3 linked regions of the Rattus norvegicus genome follow. The protein of the gene in region 3 interacts with the protein of the main gene of each other region in a pairwise test. Links are inferred from orthologs where the notes say so. Each region holds a gene or a part of one and is shown on either strand. Other genes may lie near its edges.

What was found. The genes of interacting proteins can lie anywhere in the genome.
Region 1: the proteins of Calcoco1 (region 3) and Dusp13b interact in binary tests that used the Homo sapiens proteins (3 or more experiments, as listed by UniProt). The two-hybrid records come from large-scale screens. The link is inferred for Rattus norvegicus from reciprocal best matches to the Homo sapiens genes CALCOCO1 and DUSP13B.
Region 2: the proteins of Calcoco1 (region 3) and Cep19 interact in binary tests that used the Homo sapiens proteins (3 or more experiments, as listed by UniProt). The two-hybrid records come from large-scale screens. The link is inferred for Rattus norvegicus from reciprocal best matches to the Homo sapiens genes CALCOCO1 and CEP19.

What each region holds. Positions count from the first base shown.
Region 1 is NC_086033.1:2,620,184-2,627,517, forward strand, and holds the end of Dusp13b (testis and skeletal muscle-specific dual specificity phosphatase), read left to right. Parts: exon of another isoform or gene 1-2,241; intron 2,242-2,324; coding exon 2,325-2,545; intron 2,546-3,603; exon of another isoform or gene 3,604-3,795; coding exon 3,796-3,998; 3' UTR 3,999-4,251; downstream 4,252-7,334. UniProt on the Homo sapiens protein: Dual specificity phosphatase that dephosphorylates MAPK8/JNK and MAPK14/p38, but not MAPK1/ERK2, in vitro. Exhibits intrinsic phosphatase activity towards both phospho-seryl/threonyl and -tyrosyl residues, with similar specific activities in vitro.
Region 2 is NC_086029.1:82,183,118-82,191,196, reverse strand, and holds part of Cep19 (centrosomal protein of 19 kDa), read left to right. Parts: intron 1-3,248; 5' UTR 3,249-3,326; intron 3,327-4,157; 5' UTR 4,158-4,185; coding exon 4,186-4,351; intron 4,352-7,203; coding exon 7,204-7,565; 3' UTR 7,566-8,079. UniProt on the Homo sapiens protein: Required for ciliation. Recruits the RABL2B GTPase to the ciliary base to initiate ciliation.
Region 3 is NC_086025.1:135,710,051-135,717,408, reverse strand, and holds the end of Calcoco1 (calcium-binding and coiled-coil domain-containing protein 1), read left to right. Parts: coding exon 1-112; intron 113-468; coding exon 469-594; intron 595-945; coding exon 946-1,041; intron 1,042-1,359; coding exon 1,360-1,468; intron 1,469-1,626; coding exon 1,627-1,826; intron 1,827-2,210; coding exon 2,211-2,317; intron 2,318-2,507; coding exon of another isoform or gene 2,508-2,579; intron 2,580-3,240; coding exon 3,241-3,418; 3' UTR 3,419-4,201; downstream 4,202-7,358. UniProt on the Homo sapiens protein: Functions as a coactivator for aryl hydrocarbon and nuclear receptors (NR). Recruited to promoters through its contact with the N-terminal basic helix-loop-helix-Per-Arnt-Sim (PAS) domain of transcription factors or coactivators, such as NCOA2.

The DNA.
Region 1 (7,334 bases), on a different chromosome or scaffold from region 3:
GCAAACAGATGATCTTGTGTGTACTTCATGGGCTGCCTCGGTGGCTTAAAGTTGTGCGACACAAGGCATTGTGTAGCTGTGGCTTAATTTTAGTATTATATGATATTCTACTGTGTGACTATTTCATAAATTCTCCATTGGCGCTGATCCCATTTTTAACTATTATAGTGGTCCTAGGAGTGGTTACTAAGGTATGCTGGGAAATTTTACAAATATAGGGTACTGGAGAGATGGCTCAGAGGTTTAGTGAGCACTAGCTGTTCTTTCAGGAGACTGGGATTCCCAGCACCCACACGGCAGCTCACAACTGTTTGTAACTCCAATTCTGGAGGATCCAATACCCTCACACAGACAAACATGTAGACAAAACGCCCCTGAACATAAATACATCTTTTTTAAAAAGAAAATATAGACTAAATATATAGAAAAATTATAATTTTTCCCTTTGTATTTAGAATTCACTGGGCTAGGGAGAGCCCTGGCTGCTCCTCCGAGGTCCAGAGTTCAGGTCCCAGCATCCACATGGCTTCTCCAACCGTCTGTAACTGCAGTCCCGTGAGATCCAAAGCCATCTTCTGATGTGCAGATATACATGCAGACAAAACACCCATCTACATACGTAAACGGACTCTAGAATAATTAAAACAGATGAATATCTAGTTAACAATATTCCTCTTTTTCCCAGAGATGAAAATCCTTGTAGACTTTTAAAAAGTGCCTGTGTGCTTTTTCACAGTGCTATTTTTGGTAAAGCTGCCATCACTTTGTAATACCGTTTTGAGATGAGCTTTATATAGAAGGAAAGCTTTTTTTAAATTAATCACACTACATATTCAAAAATTCTTATAACATTCTGTTTTGTATCCTGTATCTTCACAGGTTCTTGATAAAACGTAAACACCCTTCCTTGTTTACCTGCATTCACCACACTTTAGTGATTTGCGGTATTTCATGATTTAGATACACAGGAACTTGTTTTGCCTGAGGGGTTTGTCCCATGTTCCCCTGTGATATCTAAACTAAAAACGGTGCCAAAAGCTCATAACATATGCTGCAGTTTTCCCTATGAATGCCTACCTTTGAGAGGTTTAATTTGTAAGTTAGATTAAGTAACACTAATAATAACAAAATGGAGTAATTACTATATTAAGCGAGGGCTAATAGAACACAGGCCTGCCTGTGATACCGTGTTAGTCAATTTCATAACCGAGATAGCCAGTAATTAGCAGGTAATATCGCATATGCCGTGTGTATACACCGGCTAAAAGGGGGATGCTTGTCCTTGTTCTAGTGTGCTTTCTGTCACTACGATAAAACATTGACCAAAACCAACTTGGGGAGGAATTACAGTTGATCATCAAGAGAAGCCAAGGCAGGGGCTTGAAGCAGAAACCATGAAGGAATGCTACCTCCTGACTTGCTTCCTCTGGCTTGCTTAGCAACAGTTCTTAACACAGCCTAGACCCACCTGCTAGGGGATGGTACTGCCCACAGGGGGCTCCATGCTCCCATGTCAATTAATAACTAAAACGTCCCAGAAACATGTCCATAGCCAGTCCTATGGTGGCGATTTCTCAATTAAGGTTTTCTCTACATAGACCTGTAAAATTGACCACGACTGCTAGCTATGACAGCCTCAGGCACAACACAGCAGGACAGTACAAAATTTGAAATCTATTAGTTGTTTACCAATAGAATTTAAAAAAAAATATTTGGGAGGCATAGTCGACTGTGGGTAAAAAGTAAAACCATGGATGAAAAAGGATTACCGTACTATACTTAATAAGTTTTTGTTTCCGTCAGAAAATGTTTCTTTCCCTAATATTTCGGTTTCAAATAGTATTAAATCTGGCTTATATAACACCTTTCAGCACATTTAGAATTCCTCCCTTTAATCTGTTCCTAGAAGAAGGTGTTTACACAGCGCATGGATGCCTTTCTAAGGTTTTTGATGCATGTAGCTAAATCCATCCGGGAAGTTCCCTAGGGGAAAGGTTCAGAGTGGCAGTTCTCACACTGTGGGTCACGACCCCTCTGACAATCCTGAGTCTCCAAAAACATCCACACTGAAGTACGCAGCAGTAGAAAAATTACAGCAATGAAGTCGCAATGAAAACAGTTCCACGGTTGGGGGTCAGCGTAGCATGAGGAACTGTATTAAAGGGTTGTGGCACATAGAAGCGTGAGCACTGTTTTGGAGGATTGCCCTCACCGGGGCGGTTCACCGTTCAGTCTCCACGCCTGCAGGAGAACAGAGGAGAGGGGTAAGTTCCGACCCAGTGAGCCCCACCCCACCCCTTAACTTCCCGTGTACCCTCCCTCAGGTATGCTGCCAGAGACAAGAGCCGTCTAATCCAGCTGGGCATTACCCATGTCGTAAATGTTGCTGCGGGCAAGTTTCAGGTGGACACAGGCGCCAAGTTTTACCGTGGAACACCCGTGGAGTACTATGGCATTGAGGCCGATGATAACCCCTTCTTTGACCTCAGTGTCTACTTTCTGCCTGTTGCTCGTTACATCAGAGATGCCCTCAATACTCCCCGAAGTAAGCTGCTGGGGAAGAGGTTGGGTTAGGGTCAGGGTGGGTAGGGAGCCCACAGCACCAGCTCTGTCAGAGGCCCTCCCGCAGTAGGATCAGATGGTTATTGCCACTTAATGAGTACATGGTGGAAGCCAGTGACTTCAGATATAACTAAGATTCAGCATGGGGTTGCAGAGGCGGCTCCGTTGGGAAAGTACATGCTGTGCAAGCATGGGGATCTGTGTTCGATCCCTGGAACCCACATGGACAAGGCAGGGATAGTAGTGTGTGCTCATAATTCCAGCATCAGATAGATGAATAGAGAGATTCTGAGGCTCATTGGCAGGCAGCCTGGACAGTATGTCCAGACCTGTGAGAGACCCCATCTTAAAAAATGAAAGTGGACAGCACCCAAGGAACAACACTCAGAGCTGACTTCTGGCCTTCATATATGCATGTGTGTACATGCATGCACACCTATACTCTCATGCGTACCATTACATCAACACACACACACATGTGCACACACTTTCTCACACACATACACACACTCACACATATGTACACACTCTCTCACACACACATGTACACATACTCATACACACACACTCATACACACACACTCACACACATGTGCACACACTTTCTCACACACATACACACACTCACACATATGTACACACACTCTCTCACACACTCACACACACATGTGTACACACTCATACACACACACTCACACACATGTATACACACTCTCACACACGCTCACACACATGCACACACACACCCTCATAGACACTCACATGCACACACACACTCTCTCACACACACTCACATGCACACACATGCACATGCACACACACGCTCACACACACGCTTACATGCACGCACGCACACACACATGCAAACACACACACACTCTCATACCATCCATTTTGATCCCCAGAATAACCATACTCTTTAGAAAGAAGCCAGATACTAGGCAGAAATCACCAAGACCTTGCAAAGACTCATGGGTAAGCACCCCAGAGGGAAGACGTAAGTGCAAATCCAAGAGGTCATGGAAGTTTGGTGACCCTCACCTAGAGTTGCAATGGCTACCAGAGAAAGCCCTTCTACACCAGGAGAGGGAGCCCTGCTGCTCTTTAGCCTTATACTAAGTCGTTGTGTGATCTTGAGCTTCCATTGTCCCTGAAGGGATGGCCAGAGATGTCCCTTCTTCCCAAAGGTGAGATGGGAACAGGTCACCAATGCTAGCTTGGGTCTTCCTACAGGCCGAGTGCTGGTCCACTGCGCCATGGGGGTAAGCCGCTCTGCTACAATTGTCCTGGCCTTCCTCATGATCTTCGAGAATATGACACTGGTAGACGCCATCCAGACGGTGCAGGCCCACCGAGATATCTGTCCCAACTCAGGCTTCCTCCGACAGCTCCAGGTTCTGGACAATAGGCTGAGGCGGGAAACAGGGAGACTCTGAATTAGGGAGCACTTGAAGCCCTGACTCCTCCATCCAGCGTGGCCTAACCTGACTTACCTGGCCCTGGGAATGGCAGCCTTGGCTGTTTCCAGAGTCCCTGAGATGGCACCAGCAAGTCAGGGCTCCGCTGAAGCAGAGGCAGGGTGGGCTGGGTGGCAGCCCTCAACAAGTGGAGTCCCCTGACACAGCAGAGAAATTCTTTATGCAGAAGAAATTTCAGACTGTCTCTATAATAAAAGGTTCATCATAATAACAGTGGTTTGTAGACAATGGCTTTACTCTCACGAGGGCCACAGTCCTAGGGTAGCCTGCCAGCTCTGACTCAGTAGTCTGGTGGAAGAAGTAGCCTGTTGATACCACAAGGCCAACTGAGGAGACCGTGCAGGTGGGGTTCAAAAGGAGGTTTGCTCCAGTGCTGCGGACCAGGCGACTAAGTCCTCATCTTGTCTCTTTTGTACCCTCACCCAATGCTAAGGTTGTCTGTTTAAAAAAAAAAAATTCCAGTGGCTGGAGAGATGGCTCAGTGGTTAAGAGCCCTGGCTGCTCTCCCAGAAGTCCTGAGTTCAATTCCCAGCAACCACATGGTGGCTCATAAACATCTATAATGAGATCTGCTGCCCTCTTCTGGCCTGCAGGTGTCCACGCAGCTAGAGCACTTCTACACATAAGATAAATAAATCTTAAAAAAAAAAAAAGTTCCAAGTGTCACATCCTCTCTGGGCCACAATCAAAACTCACCATTGGGATCCAGTGAGAGTGTAAGCCCTGGCAACCCGAGCACCATCTTCTACCTTATAAACATGAAGAGAAAGAATGGGGGCCGGGAAGGTATCTCTCATGCCAGGGCACACATACACACCCTGACACATCATGCCTATACACAGTAATAATAAAATCAAGCTTATTTTTAAAAGTAAATTAAGGTCAAGTGAGAGACAGCTGGACAGGTAAAGGTATTTGCTACCAAACACAACGACCCGAGTTCAATCCCTGGGACCCATGCGGTAGAAAGAAAGAACCAAATCCCACAAATTATTCTCTCATCTCCACACACTTACTATGACATGGATATACCCGTCTCCCCTCCCCCAAAAAACCCCATAAAGAAGTGTTATAACAAAAAAGAACAGTCTTAAAAGTTAATTTGAAAACTGACTGTTGGAGCTAGGGGTGTAGGGCAGGGGTGAAGCGCTGGCCTAGCATATGTAAACCTCTGGGTGTGATTCACGGCATTATAAACAAAACAGCAAGGAGCAGTACCTATGGGCCTAGCATTGAGGCTGGAGGACTGAGTACATTCAAGGAAGGCCAGGCTAGACTACATAGTAAATTACAGGCCTGGGACTAGGGACGTCCTCAATTGGTAGAGTTGTTTCCCTAGGGCACACGGGGCTCTAGGCTTGATCCTCAGTGTCTTAGGGTTTCTATTGCTATGAAGAGACACCATGACCATGGCCACTCTTACACAGAAAAACATTCAGTTGGGGCTGGCTTACCGTTTAAGCAGTTTAGTCCACCATCGTCACGGCGGGAAACATGGTGGCATACAGGCAGACACAATGCCAGAGAGGAAACCGAGTGTTCTACATCTGGATCACCAGGTTGTAGGGAGAGAGAGTGACACAGGGCCTGGCTTGAGCATCCCAAATCTCAAAGCCCACCTCCACAGTGACACACTTCCTCCAACAAAGCCACACTCACTCCAACAGGGTCACACCTCCTAGTAATGCCACTCCCTGTGAGCCTATGGGGGTCATTTTGATTCAAACCACCTCACCCAGAATGATATAAACCTGGGTGCCCGTGTGCCACAACCCTCAGGAGGTAGAGGCAGAAAGATCAGTTCGAAGTCATCCCTAGGACATAGTGAGTTTGAGGCTAGCCTGGGCTACAGGAGAAAAGGATGAAGAAAACAATACAGAAAGTTTCCCTTGGGTTCCTCACTGGCAAACAGCATGACCTGCTCATGGTTTTTAGGGTGAAATGGTTTGCTTTCCCCACTTTTCTCTGGTCCCATTTTTCTCCTGCTTCCTCAGATTTTTTCTACTGACCCTAGAATATGAAGGTCTCTCTGGGTTTTGTCGTCTTGCGTCTTATCTCCCAGATGCTCCTACTTTTCTGGGTGAGCCTTGGCTCTCCCAGCCTCAGTCTTCTCTCCTGTGCTCCAAACCTGGGTATTCCACTAGCCACCTTCATTAGTGTATTAGGCCTTCAGCCTCAGCTGAACTTTTCATAATCCTGTACCCCACCCCCAGACTCTCTCTTCTAGCTTGTTCCCTACTTTACAGCAGAGTTTCCCACCACCGTTCTTGTGCCAACAATAGCTATTTTTATTGATTTTTTTTCTTACCACTATTGCAAGATATCTGATAGAAGCCACTTAAAGAAAGACATCACTATTTTGGTTCTCAGTTTCTGAGGAAATTCAAAGTTGCTCAATCTTTGGTGGCAGGAGTTTAAGGCTGCTTACATTGTGGCTGACCAGGAATCAGAGAACTCAGTGTGCTTGATTGAATGAGAACAGCCCACATAGACTCCTATGTTTGAATGCTTAGTTCCCATTTAGTGGAACTGTTTGGGAAGGATTAGGAGGTATGGCCTTGTTGGAGGAGGTGTGTCACAGGAGGTGGGCTTTGAGGTTTCAAAAGTCTCTCTGTGTCTGTCTGTCTTTGTCTTTCCATCTCTGTCTGTCTCTCAACTCTCTCTCCCTCCCTCCCTCCTTCCCTCCCTCCCTCCCTCCTCCCCTCCCTCCCTCCTTCTCTTCCCCTCTCCCTTTCCTCCCTCTCTTTCCTCCCTCTCCCTCTTTCTCTCTCTGCCTGCTGCCTGTGAATCAGAATCTAAAGTTCTCAGCTACTGCTCAGCACCATGGTTGAGATCAGAAAAAGGTAGAGTTTTCAGATGCCAATCACCCATAATTTGTTTCCACATCCCAAAGGTTCCAAAACCTCCCAGACAGCACCACCAGCTGGGGACCAAGCATTCAAATAGGTGAGCCTAAAGGGAACATTTCAGACTAAAACCAGAAGAGCTGTCAACCTTGACATAGCCCCTGGCAACCCCTTCAGGTACAGCTCTGTGGGTCTATGGGCCGGCAGCCATGGGTTCACATCACTAGGCCATTAAGGAGACCAGATCCTGGCACATCCTGGGACTGGATGGTCTCTCTGTCCTGCCGCACTGCACACATCTCTCATCCAGCTCCCCTGGTGTCCTCTCCTAACATAGACCACTCATAAGCCCCTTAGACTCTCCAGAATTCTCACCAAGACTGTAGAGCCAATTCTGGCTCCCCCGGGGGCTTAAAGAAGGTTCCCTTCTCTAGTCTACTCTTGGGGG
Region 2 (8,079 bases), on a different chromosome or scaffold from region 3:
AGAAGGTTCTAGAAAGTTTACTAACATCACACTTTAGTGAGGTGATCTGGGAATAGTGAGTGGTCATTGACTCAGATCAAAGGCAAACCACAGCAATATGAAAAGGAGCTCTTTATTATGACTAACCTGAGTAAAAATCTCATATCTATCACTAGGGGTGAAAATACAGATGATGACCCTATATGATAAGTCTACCTAGCAACCGTAAAATTTTCATTTTAATAAGGAAACCATATGTGTGATATAAAACTAAACCGTAGTTTTTATATTTATGCATATATGTATGTACACATATATATAGCTAGAAAAAAAGAAGCTAGATGAATATTCATTTTCTCTTTCCCATTTTCCCCTATTTTTCTATAACGAACTAATATAATGTTAGTTTCTTTTTTTTTTTTCGGAGCTGGGGACAGAACCCAGGGCCTTGCTCTACCACTGAGCTAAATCCCCAACCCCATAATGTTAGTTTCTTAAACAGTGCACCTAGACTTGTCCTCCTACCAGAACTAAGTTTATAAAGATATTATTACCTTATGCTACCTTACCTCTGTTGCTGTAAAATTATTAAAAATGCCTTAATTTATCCCACACTAGGTCCAGCACCTTAGTGCCCCAAGATATCTTGTAGATATCTTCCTCTCACCCGCTTTGCTCAATCCCATATCACACTGCTGATGGCTTCTCTCTGAGCCTGACAACAGTCTCTCTACCCATCTAGTTCCCAAGGCAGGTTGCCACCATGCCAGAAATACACGTCTCCAGTCACCACATATACTCTTGAACTTAAAACATGAAAGAACACACAACACAATAACCTCCGATACAATTGATAATATATAATTTGCTCACCTAGACATACAAAAAGCCCTGTACACATCCATCCCTTAAGAATATTCATAACAGGGGGCTAGAGAGATGGCTCACAGGTTAAGAGCACTGACTGCTCTTCCAGAGGTCCTGAGTTCAATTCCCAGCAACCACATGGTGGCTCACAACCGTCTGTAATGGAGATCTGATGCCCTCTTCTGGTGTGCCTGAAGACAGCTACAGTGTACTCACATACATGAAATAAATAAATAAATCTTTTTAAAAAAAAAAAGATTATTCATAACAACCTGTAAATGTGCAGAGAGGAATCTTAACATCAGCCTCCATGTTCTCTCTGCTGCTTCTCCTGCCTCCTCCAGTCTCCTCCTCTCTCTAAAACTTTTCTCCCGCCCATCCTTCCTTCTCGTCCAATGACAGGCCTCGTTCTATCTTGTACCTGCCTTCACCTGTATGACATCAATCCAGTTTCAACATTTGCAAACCATAGCCACTATGCAAGTGTAAGAATCTAAGTCATTCTTAAAGTTGAGTGTACTACTTTGCCACTGAGGGTAGAGAAGGAAAGAGAGAGCAGAAAGTATTAATCTGAAAATATCTGCGTTTCTTATACCTGGAAAAGTACCATAGTCAGACAAATGAGCTGTAGTAAAGGCCACATACACATTACTGTTTTGCATATGGAGAGGCTGATTATCTACACACCACCCCTACCCCCTTTTTTTTCTTGAGACGTAAGGGAACAAACAGAGTTCTCAAACAGCTGTCCTGGAACTCAGGGCAGTCCTGCTGTTTTGGCCTTCTGCGTTCTGGGATTACAGAACTCAGACACTATGCCTGTTCAGATCCGCCATTTTAACTGTGATTGATATTTCGGTTGTCACCTGTCAGCTGGCTGGGGTCATGTTGCTCTAACTGGATAGAAATCAGTAGGAGAAGTTCCCAGGCCCTTGAGTGTCCAAGGCCTGGACTAGCAGACTAGATGATTGCAATTCCAAACACTGAGAGGTCGGGACTTAGGGCTCCTGATTTAGAAGCTAGTGACGCATGGCTCTGGGTGCTCAGGTTGGATGCTGTTGGCATTCATTTGGCAAGCATTTGCCAGCCACTGTAATGCTCAGCGCCCAGCGGCTGTGAGTGAGAGCAGCAGTCATCTGCTGGACTTACAGATCCTGGAGGGGGGCCTTGACTGTTGAGACACTGTTGGTATCAGGAATTGCCTTTACCTCCAACAGCTGCAACGGTTGGTCACTGTTGCTATGGCAACAGCCATACATTCCCAGAAGACCTTTTGGCTCAATTCCCACCTCGACCTGGGAATAGTTACATCACATTCCAAATAAAAAGCAGACTTCCTTTGCCTTCCTTCTCTTTTCTTTTCTTTCTCTTGCCCCTTCCCCTAGTCTCATTCTTCATAAATCTCTCCTTGTGGAACCGTATTGGTTTGGTGTGCTCTATCTGGATGGGTACAGGCCGATATTTAACAACAACAAGATTTTAATAACAACAGACACTTCATTCCTACAATGACTAGTATTACCGCTTAAGGCCAGGAAGCCTCCTGAAACTCTTCAGCACCTAGTTCTCATAGCTTCCTCTGCCTCTACTCCAGTGTTTCCACTTCAGTTATTTGCTTCCTCTCTGGAAGCCTTCCTGGGGCTTCAACTGTTACTAGTTGGAAGCTGCTACCAGTGTGCCAGTTCTAACCTTGTCTTCCTTGTGCCGATAGCTCAGTCTGGTCTGCTAATACTAACAGTCAAAGGCAGGAGGGAAAAGGCCACTCGCAGAGCCTTTCAAATGAGCCTAATGTTATAGCATGTAACGCTGGGAGCAGCACAATGAGGGTGTATCCAGGTGACTTCAGAAGTGAGCTGCCAGGTGGACAGAGGCCAGAATATTTGCAGCAATCACAACACATCCCTTCATGCATCACAGACCTGCCGCGGAGCCAACATGATGAGTGCCCCTCTGCCTAATGCTCATTGAGGCTTCCGCTCAGCCCGGGCTTTCTGAGACCTGTGCAGACTGGTGGAGTGCTCCTGATGACTGTCTTCAGCTATGCTTCTGTAGTATCCTCAGAGAAACAGGAAGGAAGGAAGGAAGGAAGGAAGGAAGGAAGGAAGGAAGGAAAGAAAGAAAGAAGGAAGGAAGGAAGGAACCAGAGTCTGGCTATTAAGAGTAAAGGGCTGACAGTTCCACCCCAGGCTGCTAGGTTTAAGAGAAGGACCTGTGAAAATGTTGGCCTACATGGTCTTAGAGAAGCCTCAACACAAACTAACAATTCCTGTAACAGTACTTCATATTATATAACAATGTGTACCAGCATTTGACTCCTGCCCCAATGCCCCAGGATAATATATAGTAACTTTGCTTGTATTAATACACAGCACTGAACAAGTATTACCTTTATTATGTTCCAGACATGTACTAAGAGCTTAATGAAAATGGACACACTTCCTGCCTTCCTAGAGCAAATAGAATAACAGGGAGGATACATGGTAAGTAAAAATGATGAATAAAAGAATGGTGGGGGTAGGCAGTGGTGGTGCACACCTTTAATCCCAGTACTCAGGAAGCAGAGGCAGGCAGATCTCTGAGTTCAGGCCAACCTAGTCTGCAGAGTTCCAGGAATAGGCAGAGAAACCCTATCTTGAAAAAAAAAAAGAAAGAAAAGGAAAGAAAGAATGAATTGGATGAATTTGGAAAGCACAAGGCAATTACATCTGGTCTAGTGGACTTCTCAGTACAAAATGTTTATAAAGCGGAAAGTGCTGGGGACGTAGCATAGCTAAAAGAATGCTTGCCTACTCTGCATAAATCCCTGGGTTCCGTCTTGAGCAGCCCATAAACCAAGTTTAATAGCACATGCTGTGATTCTAACACTGGGAAGCAGAGACAGGAGGATCAGAAATTCATGGTAATCCTCCACTTCATAACAAATTCAAAGCCAATCTGGGCTACACGAGACAGTGTCTCGAAAAAGGAAAAAGTTTAAAAGAACGTATACATAGAGGGTGACTCAGAAGTCCTTTAACTGAAACATCAAAGTGATTCCGAAGGCCAGCAGGTCAGTTCTTGGGCCCCTGGGAGGTTTGTGTGTAATCTCTGGTACGAGTGCAGCACACTAAGGGGTCCAGACAGAATGGCATTACCTACTCAGAGATCCGACGAGCTGAGGCTAGCCTGGACCAGACTAAACTTTCAGGGTATCCCTCAAAGTCTGGAACTTTGTGAGCATACAATCACGGGGCTAGTCCACAGCCAGATCCACCGAGGAGATGGGGAAGGATTTATTCAACACCTAGCTCGATGTGGTTGACCTCTCTTAGGAAATTGTTGCACAGCTGTCCTATCTGTATGAGATCTCCAGTTTACCCTGAGTTACACGAGACGATGAAATACATTGCCAAGAAGTGTGGAGTTAGGTTCCAGCCTCCGGCCATGATCTTGATTTATGAGAATGAAGCTGAAGGAAAGAGCCGCCAGCGCATCATGCCTGTCCGAAACTTTTCGAAGTTCTCAGGTACGCCTCGTTTTATCTCGCTTCCTGCCTAGCTGTCAGCTTATTTTATTCATGTGTCTGTGTCCACGTGAGTTGGTGTCTACAGAGACCAGAAGAGGGCATCAGATTCCCTGCAGCTAGAGTTGCAAGCCTAATCGTTGCTGAAGTTGGGAACCCTGCAAGCACCCCTAACCACTGAACCAGCTCTTCAGCCCTTACCTCCTGTCTTAAATATTCTTTTTTTTTTTTTTTTTTTTATTAACTTGAGTATTTCTTATATACATTTCGAGTGTTATTCCCTTTCCCGGTTTCCAGGCAAACATCTCCCTCCCCCCTCCCCTTCTTTATGGGTGTTCCCCTCCCCATCCTCCCCCCTTGTCGCCCTCCCCCCAACAATCTAGTTCACTGGGGCTTCAGTCTTAGCAGGACCCAGGGCTTCCCCTTCCACTGGTGCTCTTACTAGGATATTCATTGCTACCTATGAGGTCAGAGTCCAGGGTCAGTCCATGTATAGTCTTTAGGTAGTGGCTTAGTCCCTGGAAGCTCTGGTTGGTTGGCATTGTTGTACATATGGGGTCTCAAGCCCCTTCAAGCTCTTCCAGTTCTTTCTCTGATTCCTTCAACGGGGGTCCTATTCTCAATTCAGTGGTTTGCTGCTGGCATACGCCTCTGTGTTTGCTGTGGCTGTGTCTTAAATATTCTTAAGTCGTTTAATAAAAATAACCCGACATCATCAGGTATGGTGACACACACCTATAACCCAAGCAGGAAAGTTGCTAATGCAAAATATCTGGACAACTTGAGGTAGCCTGTCTCAAAATGAGAGCAGAAAACAAAAGGGATGGGTTGGGGAGGGGTTGAAAGTCAGTGGTGGAACCCTGACCTACTGTGTGCAAGGTCCTGGGTCAGTCCTACTGAGAGGGAAAAGGAAGGGGAGGGGGAGGGAGAGAAAGAGGGAAGGAGAGAAGGGAGAGAGGGAAAGGAAGAGGGAGGGAGGGAGGGAGGGAGGGAGGGAGGGAGGGAGGGAGGATATTTCAGTTCCTTGCGATGGAATGACAGGCTCCTCAGAGTTCAACAACCCTGGGTTTAGATCGTCAGAGACCCGCCTGTGATCATTGTGAGATCACTTATTCATCCACTTCAGTTTCTGTGTTGGTATTTTTAGGTCAACCTGACACAAGCTTGGAATCATTTAGGAAGGGGGAATGCCAAGTGAGAAAATGCCCCCAACAGATTGATCTGTAGCAGACCTGTGGTCCGTTTTCTTGATTGATTACTGATGTAGGAGGGCCTAGCCCACTGAGGGTGGGGCCACTCTGGGCTGATGGTCCTGTTTAGTATAAGAAAACAGGCTGAGCAAGCGGTGGTGAGCAAGCCTGTAAGCCCATGGCCTCTGCATCAGCTCCTGCCTCCAGGATCATGCCCCCCCCCCCCTTTTGTTTTTGGTAGGAGGGGTAGCTTTAGTCCCAGCACTCAGAAGGCAGGTGAATCTCTGTGAGTTTAAGATCAAACCTGGTCTTACATAGTGAGCTCTAACCCAGCAGAGGCTACATAGTCTAAAACAAATAAAAAATCATGCCATTTTTTACCTTTAGACATTTTCTTCAGTTGAAAGTTTTTAACAACTCTACAAAGTAATTTTAAGTTTACAAAGTAAAAAATAAATAAATAAATAAAAGAAACAGTTCATCCTTCTCTCTCCACACCAAAGTTAAGTTTGTTTGTTTGTTTATTTAAAATGTTTTATTTGGGGGCTTGCTGTTCTTTCAGAAGACCTGGGTTCAGTTCCCAGCACCCACATTGCAGCTCCCAGCCATCTTCTAACTCCAGTTCCGGGAGATCTAGCGCCCTCTACTGGTCTCTGCCAGCACCACACATAAGGTACACACTAACACATTCAGGCAAACACTCAGCATATACAGTCGAAATAAAGAAATTCTTTTTAAAAATTATGTTATTTTTTGGTATTTCTTTGAGACAAGATCTCTCTGCTTCACCTTGGATGGCCAAGAACTCATGAGTATCCTGCTTCAGCCTCCTAATGCTGGGATGAGAAACAATTATAAACCTATAGCACCATACCCACCCTGTTGTAATTTTTGCTTTGAAGGCAGGACCTAGTTAAATAGTCCAGGCTAGCCTCAAACATTCTGTCCTTCCAACTCTTCATATGTGTGCTGTATGACCAACTTCTCCTAGGTTGAAACAACATAGTTAGGTGTGTTTATCTCAGATAGTGAACCCATGACCAAAGTGTGAATACCATTGAAGTTCAATTTAATGAACCCACAAGCTTTACTGAGGTCACTTACAGGAATATGGGTGAGGGGTTACTCACAGGAGCAGAAATGACTCAGAGACAGCTGCATCACCAAGGCCTATGCCAGCATAGGTGACAGCTCACAAAGCTGGGAACACTGCTCAGCCTGCAGGCATCTCAGAGGGTGGAGAGTGCCTCTTGTTTCTGTTAGGCTGTTTGGCAGGTCTCTAGAGTCTTGTGTGTAAATTAAGCTCCTTTGAGAGTGACCCTTAGCTGTCTTTGTTTATCCTCCAGAAGGGAGGAACCTAGTGAATTTGGTCAGTTTTAGGGATTTCCTGTGTTACTTTGAATTGTTTACTCTTGTCTGAAGGAACTTCCCTGTAAGGTGGGATGTTTTAATGTGGAAGGCTGCCATGTAACAGCATGTGTAACTGAGAAGTGTTAAAACTCAATTGATTATAAAAAACAGTTCTAAAGCATAATTGATTTAATAAACCCCTCTAGCCAGTTGTCTACCTCGGAGCAAGTGATCTCAGGGTTCGGTCTGTGTTCGTCCACGCAGTAGTTTGTAATGGGTGTGCTGTGTGCTGTAATATACTCTTCTCCCTCCCAGATTGCACCAGAGCTGCTGAACAATTAAAGAATAACCCACGGCACAAGAGTTACCTGGAACAGGTGTCCCTGAAGCAGCTGGAGAAGCTGTTTGTTTTTTTACGAGGTTCCCTACAGGGGCAGAGCCTGGCAGAAACAATGGAACAGATCCAGCGGGAAACAACCATTGATCCCGAGGAAGACCTGAACAAACTGGACGACAAGGAGCTCGCCAAAAGGAAGAGCATCATGGATGAGCTTTTCGAGAAAAATCAGAAGAGAAAGGATGACCCCAGTTTTGTGTATGACGTGGAGGTTGAGTTCCCTCAGGATGAGCAGCTGCTGTCCTGCAGCTGGGACACAGCATCCGTCGATGAGTTCTGAGACTACGCCACGTTTCCACAAAGAAGGAAGAGCGGTTCTAGAAAACACTGAGACACGAATGATCCGTAAAACCAAGACACTTAACATGTCCTACACAGCCCTATGAGAAACACAGAAACACAAGATAGGAATCTGCAATCTAAAGAGAAAGTAACTCGAGAACTTGTAAAAAGGTATTTTATTATATTACTCAGGAAAAAGCTAAGAGCCAGGTATTTGATGAAGGCTGTAGAAAGGTCAATACCTGCTTGACCTTGAAATGCTACAGATGTATTTTATAGAAATCGAGATGAAGCAAAGGGGGAAGGGGGAAGTAAAGAGACAAGAAATAGGAAAATCTGGGAAAGGGTGAGTAATTATAGTTTGACAAGACTAGAATTAACCTGTGCTCATTAGGACCCTGTGTGCATTAACTCTGGGGTAGACAGGAATACCTATAAATGCAAAATGTCTCACAGCTACAAGTACATGTGGCAGAAGGCAGGCAAGTCTACTCCGCGATCAGGAAATGTGT
Region 3 (7,358 bases):
CCGACTGGAGGTGGCTGAAGTCAATGGCCGACTGGCTGAGCTCAGCCTGCACATGAAGGAGGAAAAATGCCAATGGAGCAAGGAGCGGACAGGGCTGCTGCAGAGCATGGAGGTAGAGGTGACCCTCCCTGTCTGGGATTCCGAACTGTAAGTTGGTGCTCTGGGAGGAGAGAAGAGTGGGTGAGATCCTAGGGACTTAAGGAGAGGTGCACACTTTGCTTTCCAGGCATGAACCGGCCCCAACAAGTCCCGGTTCTGATCACCAACATCCCTAGTTACCATCCTTGGTATAGGGACACGTGCTGTCATGGTAGTGATCCCCACTCTCAAGCGGCTCGGAAGTGAGGGAATTGGTCAGAAACAAGTTGGTCCCCCAGACATAAAAGAAAGATCCAGTGAGGGTGATGCTGTTTTCATGGCTCCCTTGCCACTTCGCCTCCTCCCTCCCATCTCCCCTCACATCTCTAGGCTGAGAAGGATAAGATCCTGAAGCTAAGTGCAGAGATCCTCCGACTGGAGAAGACAGTGCAGGAGGAGAGGAGCCAGAGCCACATGTTCAAGACCGAGCTGGCCCGAGAAAAGGATTCTAGCCTGGTGAGGCACCTACCTGCTTGGGTTTAGACCCATGTCCTGATGTACTAGTGCCCACTGCCTCTCGACTCTGAGTACTGTGTGCTGACTGCCTACTTCACAGCTCTGTGGATTTGAACGTGCACCTCTGGGCCTGGCGGGATGAGACACCAGAGTACAGGGTGGCTTTCTGTATTGCAGAGCCTCTTCACCCCAGCATAAGGTAGTTAGCTAGGGCCACATTTGAGAGATAGAGGTTAGGACTTTGGCCTGAGGCCCTGGGGCCAAGACAAGGGCCTTGTGGAAGAAACATTGGGTATGGAGCAAGAAAGGACATAGCTGCAGGCTCCAGGTTCCATTACCTTTTTCCCTCAGGTGCAGTTATCAGAGAGTAAGCGGGAGCTCACAGAGCTGCGGTCAGCCCTCCGAGTACTTCAGAAGGAGAAGGAGCAGTTGCAGACAGAGAAACAGGTGAGAGTCACCTGTTGCCATAGGTGCGACCCTGGATGCCAAAGCTTGGGGGCTCAAAATTCTGTATCATCTTGGTAAAATCTTGGATCAGAGACCAGTGTCTTTTTGAGGACACAAAGGCTGAAAGAGGGCCCTGACCCTTCTTAGAAACTGACTTTGTGCAGGGGAGGAGCACCAGAAGGGAACGAGGCACAGGGTAGAGGAGAGAGAACTACCCGTCAGGGGCCAGCCTCGTAGGACTCCACCAAGTGAAGGCCCAGCAAGCAGCAAGGCTGGTGTCTGCAGACTTCAGGACCTGCTTGTTCTACCCAACTGCAGGAGCTGCTGGAGTACATGAGGAAACTGGAGGCCCGCCTGGAAAAGGTGGCAGATGAGAAGTGGAACGAAGACGCTGCCACAGAGGATGAGGAAGCCACTGCTGGGCTGAGTCTGTGCCCCCAGTCTTGGGGCAGCTCTTCCCTCCCCCTCTCTGATGCTCTTTGAAGCTGACCCTTCCCGTTCCCTGGGCCCTCTGTAGCTGGAACGGTCGGTCTCCTCAGATTCCCATGGCTGATCTTCCTTCTCTATCTGTCTTCCCTCTCATAGGCTGCCCTGCAGCTCTGACAGACTCGGAGGATGAGTCCCCAGAAGACATGAGGCTCCCCTCCTACGGCTTGTGTGAGCGTGGAAACACAAGCTCCTCTCCTCCTGGACCTCGGGAGTCTTCTTCTCTTGTTGTTATCAACCAGCCAGCACCCATTGCTCCCCAGCTCTCAGGGCCAGGGGAGGCCAGCAGCTCAGACTCAGTGAGTACTGAGAGCCCATGTGGAAGTAGTAAGCAGTGGTAGGGTCACACTTGAACCACGGAGAAAGCCTGTACCACATAGCACATACTCTGGGCTGGAGGAGGCAGGCCTAGCTAGGTGTGATTCAGGCCTTCAGACTCACGCTCAGACTACACAGTGAAATCTTGTCTCACCTAAAACCCAGGCCAGTGCAATAGCCCAGATGCTCCCAGCCCCCGTCCTGTCCCCCTCTCCCTGCCCTACCTCACCGTCCCTGGGAAAGCTCTGTTCTGCTTCTCTCTTCCTGCCACTCTGCTGCCCGGGACCAGCCTTAGCTCCTCCACCCTTACCTTCTACTTCCCCACCTCAGACCCATCTCAGTCCTCCCCATCTCTTCCTTCTCAGGAGGCTGAAGATGAGAAGTCAGTCTTGATGGCAGCTGTGCAGAGTGGTGGTGAGGAAGCCAACCTTCTGCTTCCTGAGCTCGGCAGTACCTTCTATGATGTGGCCAGGTGAGGGCAGCACAAAGAGGGGAGGAGGGCAGTACCCAAGCAGCCACCTTGCCTTGCTCCCAAGTCCCCCTTCTTGGCTCAGCCAAGAGAAGGTACCAGTGTGTTGACAGGAATGTTGGCTACCTCCACAAACCCCAGGTGGCTTCATGTTCTCTCTCCCTGCCTTTGACTGGCTTCTGTGTTGTTCTAGCTTCATCTTCCGTGGAGCCCAAATTGCCCTGCTTCCCCTCTCTCCTGCCCCTTCCCCCTCCCCAACCACCAGGTAGGTACCTAGGTCTTCAGGGAGGAAGAAGGTGACCAAAGCCTCAGGGATGGAGACTGAGAGAGACGCCACCCAGAGCATCTGTCTGGCTGTGCTAAAGATGTTGCCCTCCCTGACTTCCTGGGAAACTCTGGGAGGAGAACCTGAAGTGTGGGCAGGCACCAGGTGGTGCGTGGCTCTTTAGTCCTAGTCAGCCAGCCAGGCAGAGCCTCAGAGAAAGGAGCATCTTCACCTGGCCCCCACCTCTGCCTGGAGTGAGTGGGCCAGGGGCAGAAAGGGCCAATGCTGTCGTCTCTCTGCTAGAGCAGGAAAATGAAGAGCAATGTCAGACTCGTTTTCAGCCTCATTAGGCAGCAGACGGAGACAGAGGGAGGAGAGCGGAGACTGGGGGATGGGTTCCATACCATAGACACCAGCAGGGATGCGGCTTGTGAAGAGAGGACACGGGCATCTGGAGCAGAAGAATACCATAGGCCAGGCTTGAACAGAGAATGACCAGGATGGCACATTAGACACAGGAACCACATGGGTCTCATTCCCTGAGGTCCCTAGGTCAAGGACACTGCAGAAGCTGGGCACTGTGGTGAGACCCTCTATTAGAAATAAGAATAAAGGCAGCAGAGAACCCTGACCCTGTCTGTCTTTCCTCACCTCTTTTTAGTGGCTTTGCAGTGAGTTCTCTGTCAGAGGCCAGCACTGGGGTCCCAGCCATCCCTGCCTGGAAGGAGTGTCCTATCTGTAAGGAGCGCTTCCCTGCTGAGAGTGACAAGGATGCCCTGGAGGACCACATGGATGGACATTTCTTTTTCAGCACCCAGGACCCTTTCACCTTTGAGTGATCTCACCCTTCCCTCGTATGTAGACACACGTACACACAGACAGTTATGCAGTTTGGTCTCATACCTTTTTTTTTAATCACACCAGGCTTTATAACGTTCTGTTTCTACAGACCATGCCTGCATCCCGCTTTCATCCCAAGCCTTACAACTCTGTCTCCATCCTGATCTCTTTGTTCCAGGCAGCAATCTGTCTTGGAAACCCAGTGACTGAGTTTACTCTCTGAAAAATAGTTCAGAGGAGCCGGGATGGAGATGGCTTTTCCCTTGTGGGAGTAGAATTATTTACTGATAGCTCAAGTGTGTATACACACACACATACACACACCACTCCTTCTGATGCCCCAAAGCCAACTCCTGGGGTACCCTCCCCTCTCTTGTTCAGACTTTGTTTATTATTCAAGTTTTCTCTGGGGCCTGCATGGAGGCAGCAGCATGGGCTTCATGACCTCATCAGGTCTTTCCTGATGAGGAAAGACCTACCCTGGTTCTTTCTGACTCCCAACTCCAGTCTTTCCCACAACCTTAGGCCATAAGTTTGAAAGATTCTTTTGTATTTTTAAGGGTTCCTATACCATCTCCTGCCACCCCACACCGAAGTCCTCAAGCAGAAAAGAAAATGTATTTGTGCCTTCTGTGAGGGATAGGGGGACAAGGGATCCCAGGTGTCCCCATTTCCCAGCCCCTCACCCTCTCCAGGCCCCCACAGCAATAAGAACTTCCTCTCTCCCTTAAACTCCCCTCTTATTTGTAGTTTGGACAAATATATTTATATGATATGTGTAACTGTTGTCATGACATTTTCTTATCAAGAGGCATTGCTACAGAAAAGAAGGGCTTCAAATTCCTAGTCCCATTGGGAGGGAGGGGGCAAGGGAGGGAGGGGGTAATAGGTAGGTACCAGGCCTCTGGTGTGCCAGCCACCTGAGGCCACAGCTGGCCTGGAGCACACTTTTAAGGAAGGAGCAGACTGCTGGTGGGATGGGAAGGGACATGCAGGGACCATCAGCTTCCATGGCCCTCCTTGCTCCACCCTACTCCCACCAAGAGCACATACCTTTGGGTTCTGCCAAGTGAGGTGTGCTCTAAGCTCCCTACTACCCTTGTTTATATCCCGCACAGCCCCATACACTCCTGACTCTACAGTCAGAGCAACACAGCCATCTGTCCCAACCAGTTGTCTGGGTGACATAGACATCCACAGCAGCATAGAGCATATATTAAGGACCTGTGTGCTCACCAATGCTCTGTGCCCTGGCAGGCGTACACCTATAGCTCTCATTCTCTGTCCCAAAACACCCTCCTCAGCACCTTGCAACCCTTCAGATTCACTACTGGACCACCCCCACAATCCCTGTCTTCACCTGAAACTAACCCATCCACCACCACCCCTTCCTACTGCACCTGGATGACATCTTACATCCCTCCTCCTTCCCTCACGTCTGTCTCCTAGCAACCCCATCTCATTCCCTGAATCCTTTCCAAGGAAATTGGAGATAATGGATCTCTCTCCTCTCTCCATCTCAACCTCTCTTTATTGATCCTCCTTTAATGAAAGTTAATTATAACAATGATTTAATTAATAGAATCCCTCTCTTCCTTTATTGCTTCCCGTATTAAGACTATTAATAAATACGAGCTGGGCTGACAGAGGCATCCATCACCCGCCCAGGGCTCCCCCCATCCCTCCTTTTCCCCTCCCCTCTCCCCCTCCCTCTCTTGGCCTATAAACTTGCCGGGGTAGTGGGGGTTAATCAGAGAGGAATTATGAGCCAACATCCCCAGCAGGAGGTGCATTTAATGAAATCACTTGTGATTTATGACTGGGGGAGGTTGGGAGGGAAGAATCTGGGACCGATACTTTCTGGCTTCCTGGAGGTTCGTTCCCCCTAGAGCAAAGGGAGAAACAGGGATTCCAGGGCAAGGCACCTGCTCCCTCAGCCCTCCATCTCACACAAAAGCCACATTGCCAACCAAACCAGGCCATTGGTACTTAGAGGCTCTGGTGAGGACCACACTGTGGGCTTTGTTCCTCCTCTCCCAGGCATGGGCCCTTCTCAACCTTTGCCATCTCCTCAGCTTCGTCCTGATTCACCCTCCCACAGCAGGTCCAAGCATCTTCCTCCAAGAAGCAACCCCTCCTCCACCCCCTAACTTGACACCAAGCTCTTCCACGGCTCCGGCTCCGTTTTAATTTGGATCCATGTGTCTCTTCCTGTGCCCTGTATGTGTGTTCACACTGGGACTTCTGCAGGTGCTTGGAGCAGGGAGGGGGACGGCTGGCCTTCAGATCCAGTTCTGAGCCTACATATTGTGTGGTGTTTGGAACTCACCCTGTCACATCTCCGTTCTGAAATGGATGTGTCCTTATCTTCGCTTTGTGGTATCTGTGCAGAAGCTGAGAGAACCGAAGGTCCTGGAGTGAAAGGCAGAGTCAGGTGAAGTGGCAGCCAACACTCCTGTCAGTATTTGTCCTCAAACGATGAGCCCAGTCCCCACTGAGTACCTTGTGGCTGCCCCCCTATCTACAGGAACTTGAAGTGTGGATGGCCTGGGGTGCCAGGGCAGGGTCTTCTTCACTAGCTGTTCCCAGTGTGCTTTTCCACCTCCCATCCTGCCCTGGAAAACCTAGTGCTACAGTAGAACAGAACCATTTACCAGAAGCGTGCAGTTTTCGAGCGACTCTGAGCAGCTGCTTTTCTATCCACCCAAAGGGTGCTTTCAAACCCACCTGAATTCTCAGGGTGCTGAACAAGGAGATAGAGCATGTATGGCATTTTCATAAACGCTCACTCTGCCAGCTGCACATGCCTGGAACCCCAGTAGCTGGGAAATAGACAATTTCAAATCCTGTTTCAAAAGGCCAAGGGCTGGTTAGGTGTGATGACATTTGCGAGGTCCAGGCTAGCATAACTGCAAAGTGAGACCCCATCTTTGAAGAAAAGAGGAAGTGGGCAACGAAGGGGCTTGGTACAGAGAACCCAGTAGTGCAGACTTTGCCTGGGCAAGCCCTGGTCAAACCAGCACTGCACACAAACCAAAGCTCGTTATCATGTGTACAAGGTTTTCATCTCTCTGGAAGGAACATGAAGGCGTACACCCTGTGGCTCCAAAATCTAATAAAGAAACTGGCACAGAGGTTGATTCCTCGACATTGTAAAATATTGTCTTGGGGGGAGGAAAACGACTTCATAAATACAAAATAATATATAAAGAATAAAGTGAGCATCACACTGAACTTACAAACCAGTTCCCTTTCCTTTTGTTTTCTTTTTTTTTTTTTCAGATTTTTTTCAAGACCAGGTTTCTCTGTGTAGCCCTGACTGTTTTGGGGGACTTGCTCTGTAGACCAGACTGGCCTCAAACTCACAGAACCTCCTGCCTCTGTCTCTCAAGTGCTGGGATTAAAGGCATATGCCACCACATCTCTCTGTCCCTCTCCCTCTCCCCCGTCCCCTTCCTCCTCCCCCTCCCCCTCCCACTCTCTCTTCCCCTCCCTCCATTCATCTCTCCCTCTCTCTCAAATGTGTATGAGTGGTTTTCCTGAATGGCTGCTCTTCCAGTGGACCCAGGTTCAATTCCCATGGTGGTTAAAAAAGAAGAAGGTGGGGGGAACTTGCATAAAATGAAAGCCAGACGGTCAGGAACAGAATGGAAAATGTCAACCTGGAAGGGAGAGGTGAGTGTACAGTGATGGAGATGATGGGAAAGAACCAGAGAGAGATAAGAAGCTACTCAGGAAATGTGGGAAAGGGAAGATCCAGCAGAAGAAGGATCAACACCAAGGCCAGGAAAATGACCACTGGAAGCCACTGGACTAACAGCCGGGACACAGACTGCTGAGACAGATGGCCCTAGGGTGGCAGTGGCTGCATTGCTGGCTTCACAGCCCCTGCAATAGGTACAGAGCTCTGACCTGTGGGGACTGGGAATATATCCAGAC